2 linked regions of the Oryzias latipes genome follow. The protein of the gene in region 2 binds, or shares a complex with, the protein of the main gene of each other region. Links are inferred from orthologs where the notes say so. Each region holds a gene or a part of one and is shown on either strand. Other genes may lie near its edges.

Evidence for each region.
Region 1: the proteins of guanine nucleotide-binding protein G(i) subunit alpha-2 (region 2) and p2ry12 are in contact, whole or in part, in a cryo-EM structure (PDB 7XXI), measured with the Homo sapiens proteins. The link is inferred for Oryzias latipes from reciprocal best matches to the Homo sapiens genes GNAI2 and P2RY12. Residues at the interface, in NP_002061.1 of Homo sapiens: Arg24, Glu28, Ala31, Arg32, Leu195, Glu319, Ile320, Tyr321, Phe335, Phe337, Asp338, Ala339, Thr341, Asp342, Ile344, Ile345, Lys346, Asn348, Leu349, Lys350, Asp351, Cys352, Gly353, Leu354, Phe355; in NP_073625.1 of Homo sapiens: Phe59, Asp121, Arg122, Lys125, Thr126, Pro129, Phe130, Thr132, Asn134, Pro135, Ile212, Leu216, Ser219, Tyr220, Arg222, Thr223, Arg224, Val234, Lys237, Ile241, Leu301, Cys302, Lys303.

Annotation. Positions count from the first base shown.
Region 1 is NC_019871.2:13,121,853-13,126,276, reverse strand, and holds p2ry12 (P2Y purinoceptor 12), read right to left. Parts: upstream 3,067-4,424; 5' UTR 2,918-3,066; intron 2,168-2,917; 5' UTR 2,160-2,167; coding exon 1,908-2,159; intron 1,676-1,907; coding exon 848-1,675; 3' UTR 379-847; downstream 1-378. UniProt on the Homo sapiens protein: Receptor for ADP and ATP coupled to G-proteins that inhibit the adenylyl cyclase second messenger system. Not activated by UDP and UTP. Required for normal platelet aggregation and blood coagulation.
Region 2 is NC_019863.2:7,271,443-7,275,019, forward strand, and holds part of guanine nucleotide-binding protein G(i) subunit alpha-2, read left to right. Parts: intron 1-2,367; coding exon 2,368-2,497; intron 2,498-2,873; coding exon 2,874-3,027; intron 3,028-3,112; coding exon 3,113-3,303; 3' UTR 3,304-3,305; intron 3,306-3,577. UniProt on the Homo sapiens protein: Guanine nucleotide-binding proteins (G proteins) are involved as modulators or transducers in various transmembrane signaling systems.

The sequences.
Region 1 (4,424 bases), on a different chromosome or scaffold from region 2:
CAAATAGCAAATGTGATTAGCTCTGAGTTTTAAAGCTGAAGTTATTTTTCTTTGGAAATGAAATGAAGAAGGCTACCTAGTTTACAACATTTCTCAAACCACAACTCATCCCCAAAAGCAAGCGTCAAGCGATGAGAGATAGTTCAGTTTTATGAATCATCCTGTATGAGATTTCTGTGAGTAAATCAGAGCAGATACACTGAGACAAATGAGGTTTTAAAACCGACAAACCAGATTGCTGACCATATGAAAGGGTCATGGTAACCACGGGATCAGAAACTTCCTCTTTTAATGTTATTCTAAGGACATTACAGCTTCAGGTCTTTTGCCGTACATATGAAACAGACTGCAGATTTGAAAATCTCTTGGAAGATAGAGTCCGACCATCCTTGCTTTATTGTTATTCCAGTTTGCCTTTTGTAAGAAAATCAGACAAAAGTCTCACTACAAATACTACAACTAACACTTATAGAAGGGAATTTTACTATAAAAATATACAATGTTTACAGTCAGGACATTATTTATAACGTAAGAGGCATCTGAAGCTGTTGTTAAACAGTTTTTAGTTAAAGTTCTCAAATACATATATCAAAATATTGAAGTTTTTATTTTATTTTACCAAAACGACAACATCACACTTCTCTTTTATAACAATAATTACTGTGTAGATACAGGTTTTAATGTATAAACACAAAGTAAAAACCTACGCATTGTGAACATGGATGGCTCTCCACAGGTGATGATTACTTTTGTTCTTTTTCACATAGCTTTGTTGTAAAGTCACATAGAACTTTGTCATAGGAGACTAAAAGACTGGAAGAAGAAGATCCTGAGTTAAATTTTTATTTCAATTACATGTAGACATTTGTTGGCTTGTATTTGCCTCCCTCCCTGTTATCCAGCTGCAGGTACCAGGAGGCAGATGCAGCGTCTTGAACAAAGTGTCCCTGAAGGACTTGCAAAGGAAGAAATAGATGAGCGGATCAAGTATAGAGTTAAGGGAGGAGAGGAAAAGGGTGCTTTCCTTCAGCTGGAAGAAGACAAGCTTGAATTTGCAAGCAGAGAGAACATTGCGAGTCTGGCTTATTGTATAGGGCACTCTGGCAAAATGAAATGGCACAAAGCACACAATGAACACCCCGAGAACCAGGAAGACATTTGCACTTAATTTTCTTTTTCTCTGATCGGGTTTGCGAGATGTTTCTCCAGTAGAGGATGAAGCATCAGTCCCACCAGCAATGTGTGAATTTGTGCGAGAGTAGGATTTGTACAGCTCTTTGGTGATCAGAGTGTAGCAAACGATCACGGTCGCCAGATTGCTCCAGAAAATCACTTGGCACACATAATTTACCACTTCGTGCCAAAACAGCCCTGCTTTTGTTTTCAAGTCGCTGCACGAGAAATGTGAAGAAGGTGGGTCTTTACATGTAAGGATCATGTTGGGCAGGCACAAGAGCAGCAGGATGATCCAAATGGCCGCTGAAAGAAGTTTCCTGCGTGTCAGCCGGGCAGAGTTAGTGCCTCTAAAGGGATTGAGGGTCTTTCTGCAGCGATCAATGCTGATGAGGCCAAAGAAGAGGATACTGACGTACATTGTGAGGTAAAACAGCACAGAAGAAACTCTGCACACAAATATTCGCACGCTGATGGATGCCAAGTTGGAGTCTGACAGCACCTGGAGGAAAAAGAAGGTTTCATATTTTAGGTTGTATCCTACAAGATAGTCCAAAAGATCCAATAAAAAAGCTCTGTTCATTATGAAACCTTAAAAGAAATTAAGGTCTTATTTGATATTAAATAAAATCTACAGTCAAAAGAAGCATTAAAATTCAAATAAAATAAAAACAGCTTCTTCTTTTAACTGCAACTTGTAAACAAAAGTTTTGGTGTTTGCAAGAACTACAAACCTTAAAAGGGAACGAGAAAGTCATGATGACATCTGCCACCACTATGTTCTTCAGGTAAATAATGAAGTGGGACCGCGAAGGGATGCGGAAGAACACCCACACCGCCACACCATTGAGGGAAAACCCCACCAGCAAAAGACAGGAGTACAGAACGGGGAAAACCACCGTCTTCAAAACGTTGTCCCTGGAGCAGGTGCTGTTAGTGTGGCTCTGACCATCAGGATTTTGGAACAGAGTGGCATTTAAGTCCATTTCTGCGTCTGTTTAACAAGAAGGAAAGAAATAGGTCAAAACCAGAGCCAAAACACAAACAAACTACAAACTTTAGACGAGACAGACCTCAAAAATCAGATGCAACATTTTGTATCTTTCAGTGTGTGGAGCCACATTGATCACACAGGTTGATGTAAATCAAGTTAATATGGCATTTTTTAAAGAAATTTGACAAATTCTAATGGAAAAACAGCTTGTAAGTATTTGATGTTTTTCTAGTGTGTGTGGTTTACTAATACTTAAATATTTGCAGCTTTGGTCTAGTTGTTGGTTGGTTTATTTTTTTAGATAAAATAAAATAGACTGAAAAAAATGTCTATAAAGTCAAGACAATGCTACAACAAAAAGGCATGCTTGCAATTTCTTTTTACCTTGTCTTACTTTATGTCTGACAAATTGGCACTTTGTAGGTGAAAGTAAAGCTCAGGAAAATAAAAAATATATTCAACTGAACATCTATACAAATACAATTTCCATAGAACACACAAGACTTCATGTAACTTTATGTTTTTATTGTTTAAATTTACACAATTACCCGAGAGAATTTTTGTGTGTGAGCAAATCAGAGGAACTTCTGTGAGATAAAGTTTGCGTTCAGTTTTCCACTGGCTTAGTGCCATGACCCCATTTTATAAAAAAAAGAAAAACAATGCCGTGAGCCATGCGTTGTAGTACAGTTAAGGTGAAGAAGCCTGTAATGTGTGCATCAAAAACCTTAAAAAAGTTCTTAAACTGACCTGATCTTTGGGATGATGACGAGCTGTTACATGGTCTGCCTCCTCAGCAGGTCTAGATGTGAAATGACACGGACAATTTGTTTGAGGTTTCAGTGTTTTAAACAGCCTTTTCGATGTGGGTTGTGGCAGGAAGACGTTTTCATTTCTTCTTTGTTCTTCCTGTTTCCCCCCCCCAAAAAAAAAAAAATTGTCCATCAACAAAGAAGAATCCCTCAGTTTAATATTTAGGAGAAAAAAAAGGTTTGAACTGTATGTTACAAATGTTTGCTCTTTTTCACTCACTTTCATTTTGTTAACAGTTATTGCTTCATTCTAATTGATTTTTCATTATGTAGAGCTTATTAAATAATTTTTAGATGTATCTCCTTGTGTATGTAACATGTAATCCTCTCAATAAAGGTACACAAAAAATATCTACAATGGCACAACTTGGTGATAATCTATAAAGGTGTTGTGGTAATATTTAGTGTAAACCTTGAAGAAGAGAGCAAACAGAAATGGAGCTTTTTTTCAGGATGGACACAAATTGTCAGAGGATTTGCAAAACACCTACTATGGAACGCTATGAATACCCTATTTTTAATACTTCTGTTAATTTGAGAGAAGGCTGTAAGTCACGGAGAAGTGAAAGTTTTTGTTCCGTCAGGAATATTAAAATCTTTCACTTCTCTTTGCCTTCCAGAATGACAGATGTCAGAAGGCAAAATTCTAGGATTGAAAATATCATTATCGTCAGAATTCCTGGCTTTTTAACCTTCCTTGTTAATTAGTAAATGCATTGCATTGCATGAATAGTAAGTATATTATAATGTTAATTTCTTATGAAAAACAACCCCAAAGCAGTATTTTGATCCTTTCACAGATCTCTGTGCATCACTCTAAAACCCTGCTTTCTGAGCACCCGCCCCTCCCAATCCACGAAAATGAGTGGGTCTTCATATTGTGATGTCACAAAGTGGAGGACCGCCCCTTCCAGGAAGAGTTTGTGCTGCCAGCACCGCCCCCAGGCTATCACACACACTTTCTATGTGGAGCTAGTGGTGATCAGCTAAAATGCTTTCTTTTTATGTGCCAATGGTAATATATGACAATATAATAGAATAGCATGATGTAGACCCTACCCTACCTTACAACTACTAGTGAGTTTTAAAATAAAATTCTATTGAAAACACAGTTTCAAGTCTTTTCTTTAGTTTTATTCTACATTTCTGAAAAGCGTTAAACATTCCGATTTTTTTTCCTTTTATTTGAAAAGAATACACAAAAAAGTTCAACAATAAAGGTACTGACTGAACTAAATGTGTCCAATTTTTTTGGTCAGATTGATTTGGTAGATTATGAATGATTTGCTGCCATGTTTGCCAAACAATTCCGCTCTTCTGATTACAAATTACTTGCTGCCATGTTTTCCAAACAATTCTGTTCTTCTGAGGAACTGAGGTTGCTTGTTCATCGTCCACTTCCCCTTTTGGGGAAACGAAGTGTGTTGATCAAGTGACCTTCATCC
Region 2 (3,577 bases):
TGTGCGGGGGTCACGTGACTAGTGGGTTTCTCTTTTTTCCATGGAAAATGTCCTAAAATACGATAGATTGTGGACTAATATCAGTCTATTATTATTATCTATTCTGTTAGTATTATTTGCCTTTCAAGATAAAATGTCTGTTCTTTGTCCTGTTTTTTGTAGAATAAATTTTTCCCAAAAGTGCAACTTATAGTCCAAAAGATACTGTAGACATTAGCTGCAGTTACATGTTCAAAATGTCTGTGATTGGATCAAAGATCAGATTAGAATTGAACTGTGTGCATGGGCCCAGAAAAACTTTATCCAATTATCAAGCGTTTACACGCCAGACATTTGATCAAAATAAATCTTTTTGACATGCGCAGAACTATCTAAACCACTGGAAATGGCTGTAGAAGAAGAGATAGCGAGTTCCATTGAAAACAAACAAAGCTCCGGCATAGAGCGAGATCTAAACGGGCTTTTATTATTATTATTATTTATTTATTTATTATTATATATTTTAAGTGACTGTTTGCTCATAATTTTCTAAATATGTGCGGCCAGTGCTTTACTCTTGGATGCACAAACCCGGAAGAAGGGTTAGAATTAAGCTAATATCAACATTTAGCCTTGGATGCACTTAAAATCCGTGCGGATAATGCCGCAAATTTATTTGATTGTTTGCACGATTTCTCAGGACTGCGCAGAGCAGCATTTCTATATTCAAAAGCTGCCTCCGCCAGCTTACACTGAAGCTGCTCTGAGACTCTTCTCCCGGGAGATGCGGTTCTCCTGAGTCCGGCAGCTCGCTCACGGAGAGCAACTGGACGGACTGTGGTCCAAAGTTTTCTGTGGAACGCACACCGTAACAACGGACCTGCAAACATGCTAGCAAGCTACAAGTCTGGCTGCTCTGCTCATAGTAATGATTCGCTTACGTGGAGCAGCCGGCCGATCCTGTTTGCACTCCAAAGCCTTCTCTGGAGCGCGTCTCTGGAGACGCCACACCGTCTATGCATGATGTAAAACACAGAGCAGTAGTGACCCATAATCAGAATAAATTCTTTACATGAACCACGATCAGATCAACAATCGGCATAACCCACCCATGTCGATTGGAAAGAAATTTTGATCCGAATGAGTCTGATCGGGTCAGAGTATTCCGAACGGCGTGTTTACATTACACATTTTGACTCGGATCAGGCGTTCATTCCGATTACTTTTGGAACCGCAGCTATTGACAGAAAACTCAGCTTTAGGTATGTCACCAATGCAGTTTTCCATTGGGTTAGTTTAAAAACTAACAGAAAAATCTCTGTGTCTACAAATGTGCTGTTTATACTGAGCTGATAGAGTACTTCAAATTTTACCAGCATTTCAAACCATATGACCTTTTTGGGTAAAACGGTGCCGCCCCACCCCTCGAACAACTGTAGCAGCAATTAAAAGCCTCCCCCTCCTCACATATGCACACTGTAAGCACACACAAACCTGCCCACAGTGCTCTTGCCCAGTAAAACCAGAGTGGTTTTGAATGAAAACATTTAAGTCGTTCCTGCGCGCCACACTATCAATAGTCTTACATAAAATATGCTCTGACCCCGCCCCAGCTCTCATGTGTGGGTTAGTAATGGATGTATAGATTGGCGCATAAAGCCAGATACATCGAGTGCATGAAATATGTTCTATAAAAACGCTGACAGTACAGGCATAAAACAGGGGGAGGCTGTTTATATAAAGTAGAGGGAATTTTTATTTTGCGAGATTAAGAGATTTGATCTGATATTTGAGTCTGTAAAGTGCTGCTTTTTAAAGCATCTGAAGTCAACTGATGCGACCGCTTTCCTTTTTGACATTCTGGTATTTCCCCTGAGCCTCAGCCTCTGAATTCCGCTTGAATAAAACATGCAGACAATCGATTGGAGAACTCTCTTATAATTCTGCTGTTTGGCACAATCACAGTGAAACGAAATATTTTGTAAAAAGATTGACAGCAGCTCAACTTCTTTTCATCAGAGTGTGTCATTTAGAAGACACCTGACCTCATGAGGTGTTTCCTCGCTCCGATTGCTGCTTGTTTTTGCAACTGTCCTGGTCTGAGAGGACTGTGACCTTTTGTCCAGTCCTCCGTCACTCTCAGCTTTCTCATTAGCCCCCAGTCCCCCTCAGAATAAACGGGCTTTGAACCTGCCTGTAACACACATTAACCCCTCTGTTCCTCCACTTCCTCAGCAAAGAGTTTCCCTCATGAAACGGCTATGCATACGCCAGCAGTGTTCTTCAGTCCTGAAAAAACAAAAGTGTCCTCTCCTGTTCTCTGTCTGACACTCTTCCAGACCCTCGGGTGGATAATTCATTTAGTCTTCTCTTTAATTTCCCTTGTAGGATGTTTGATGTGGGAGGCCAGCGCTCGGAGAGGAAGAAATGGATTCACTGTTTTGAAGGAGTAACAGCCATTATCTTCTGCGTCGCTCTCAGTGCTTATGATCTGGTGCTGGCTGAGGACGAGGAGATGGTAAGGAAGAGCCCGCCCTTTGATGTGTGCTCGTCTGCATGGAGGATTCATCTTTGCTGGCTTCAGAAATCTACGGAGTAGTGTCGATTCAGTGGTGCTGAAAGACATTCATATCCCCCAACTGTCCTTGTTATGGCTTTATTGTATCAACCTTCAAGCAGTAAGATGAGCTCATTGAACTCCAGTTGAAGTATAATCATTCAGTTACATTTTTTCTCTTCAAGTGACATGAATCATTGCCTTAATGTGTTGAACAGCTTATAGGAGCTCAGGGGAGTCTCTGATGAATCTACATTGTCTTGAAACAACATTTCCTCCTGGTGGCGGCTTCGATGTATTGCTGTTGTGTGACTCATGCCCATACGCCTCCTTTCAGAACCGAATGCACGAGAGCATGAAGCTTTTCGACTCCATCTGCAACAACAAATGGTTCACGGAAACCTCCATCATCCTCTTCCTCAACAAGAAAGACCTCTTTGAGGAGAAGATTACCCACAGCCCTCTCTCAATCTGCTTCCCTGAATACTCAGGTAGGTGGCAGGCAGCATCAAGAGCATGCAGGACGTTTAAAAAGCGTCACTTTAGAAATGATGGTCATTTGCTTCCGCCTCCCAGGAGCCAACAAATTTGATGAGGCTGCCAGTTATATTCAAACCAAGTTTGAGGATCTGAACAAGAAAAAGGACACCAATGAGATTTACACCCACTTCACCTGTGCCACTGACACCAAGAACGTGCAGTTTGTCTTTGATGCTGTCACTGATGTCATTATTAAGAACAACCTCAAGGACTGTGGTCTTTTCTGAAGGTAGGACTTTGGAATTGCTGGGCTGGGTGTAACATATTTTTTCACTCAGTGATGTGAAGAATGAAGGTCATTAAAAGTTGTGACCCACTTTCCCTCAAATGTACAGAAACGTTGTTTTCAATTTAAAACCAAAGGCTTAAAATTTATTCCCTAAATAAATGTTTTCCATTGGGGAAAATAACATGTTTGGGTGGATCATCTGTACATAGTCTATATTAGTGTTTTTCAACCTTTTTTGAGCCACGGCACACTTTAACCTTGACAAAAATCCC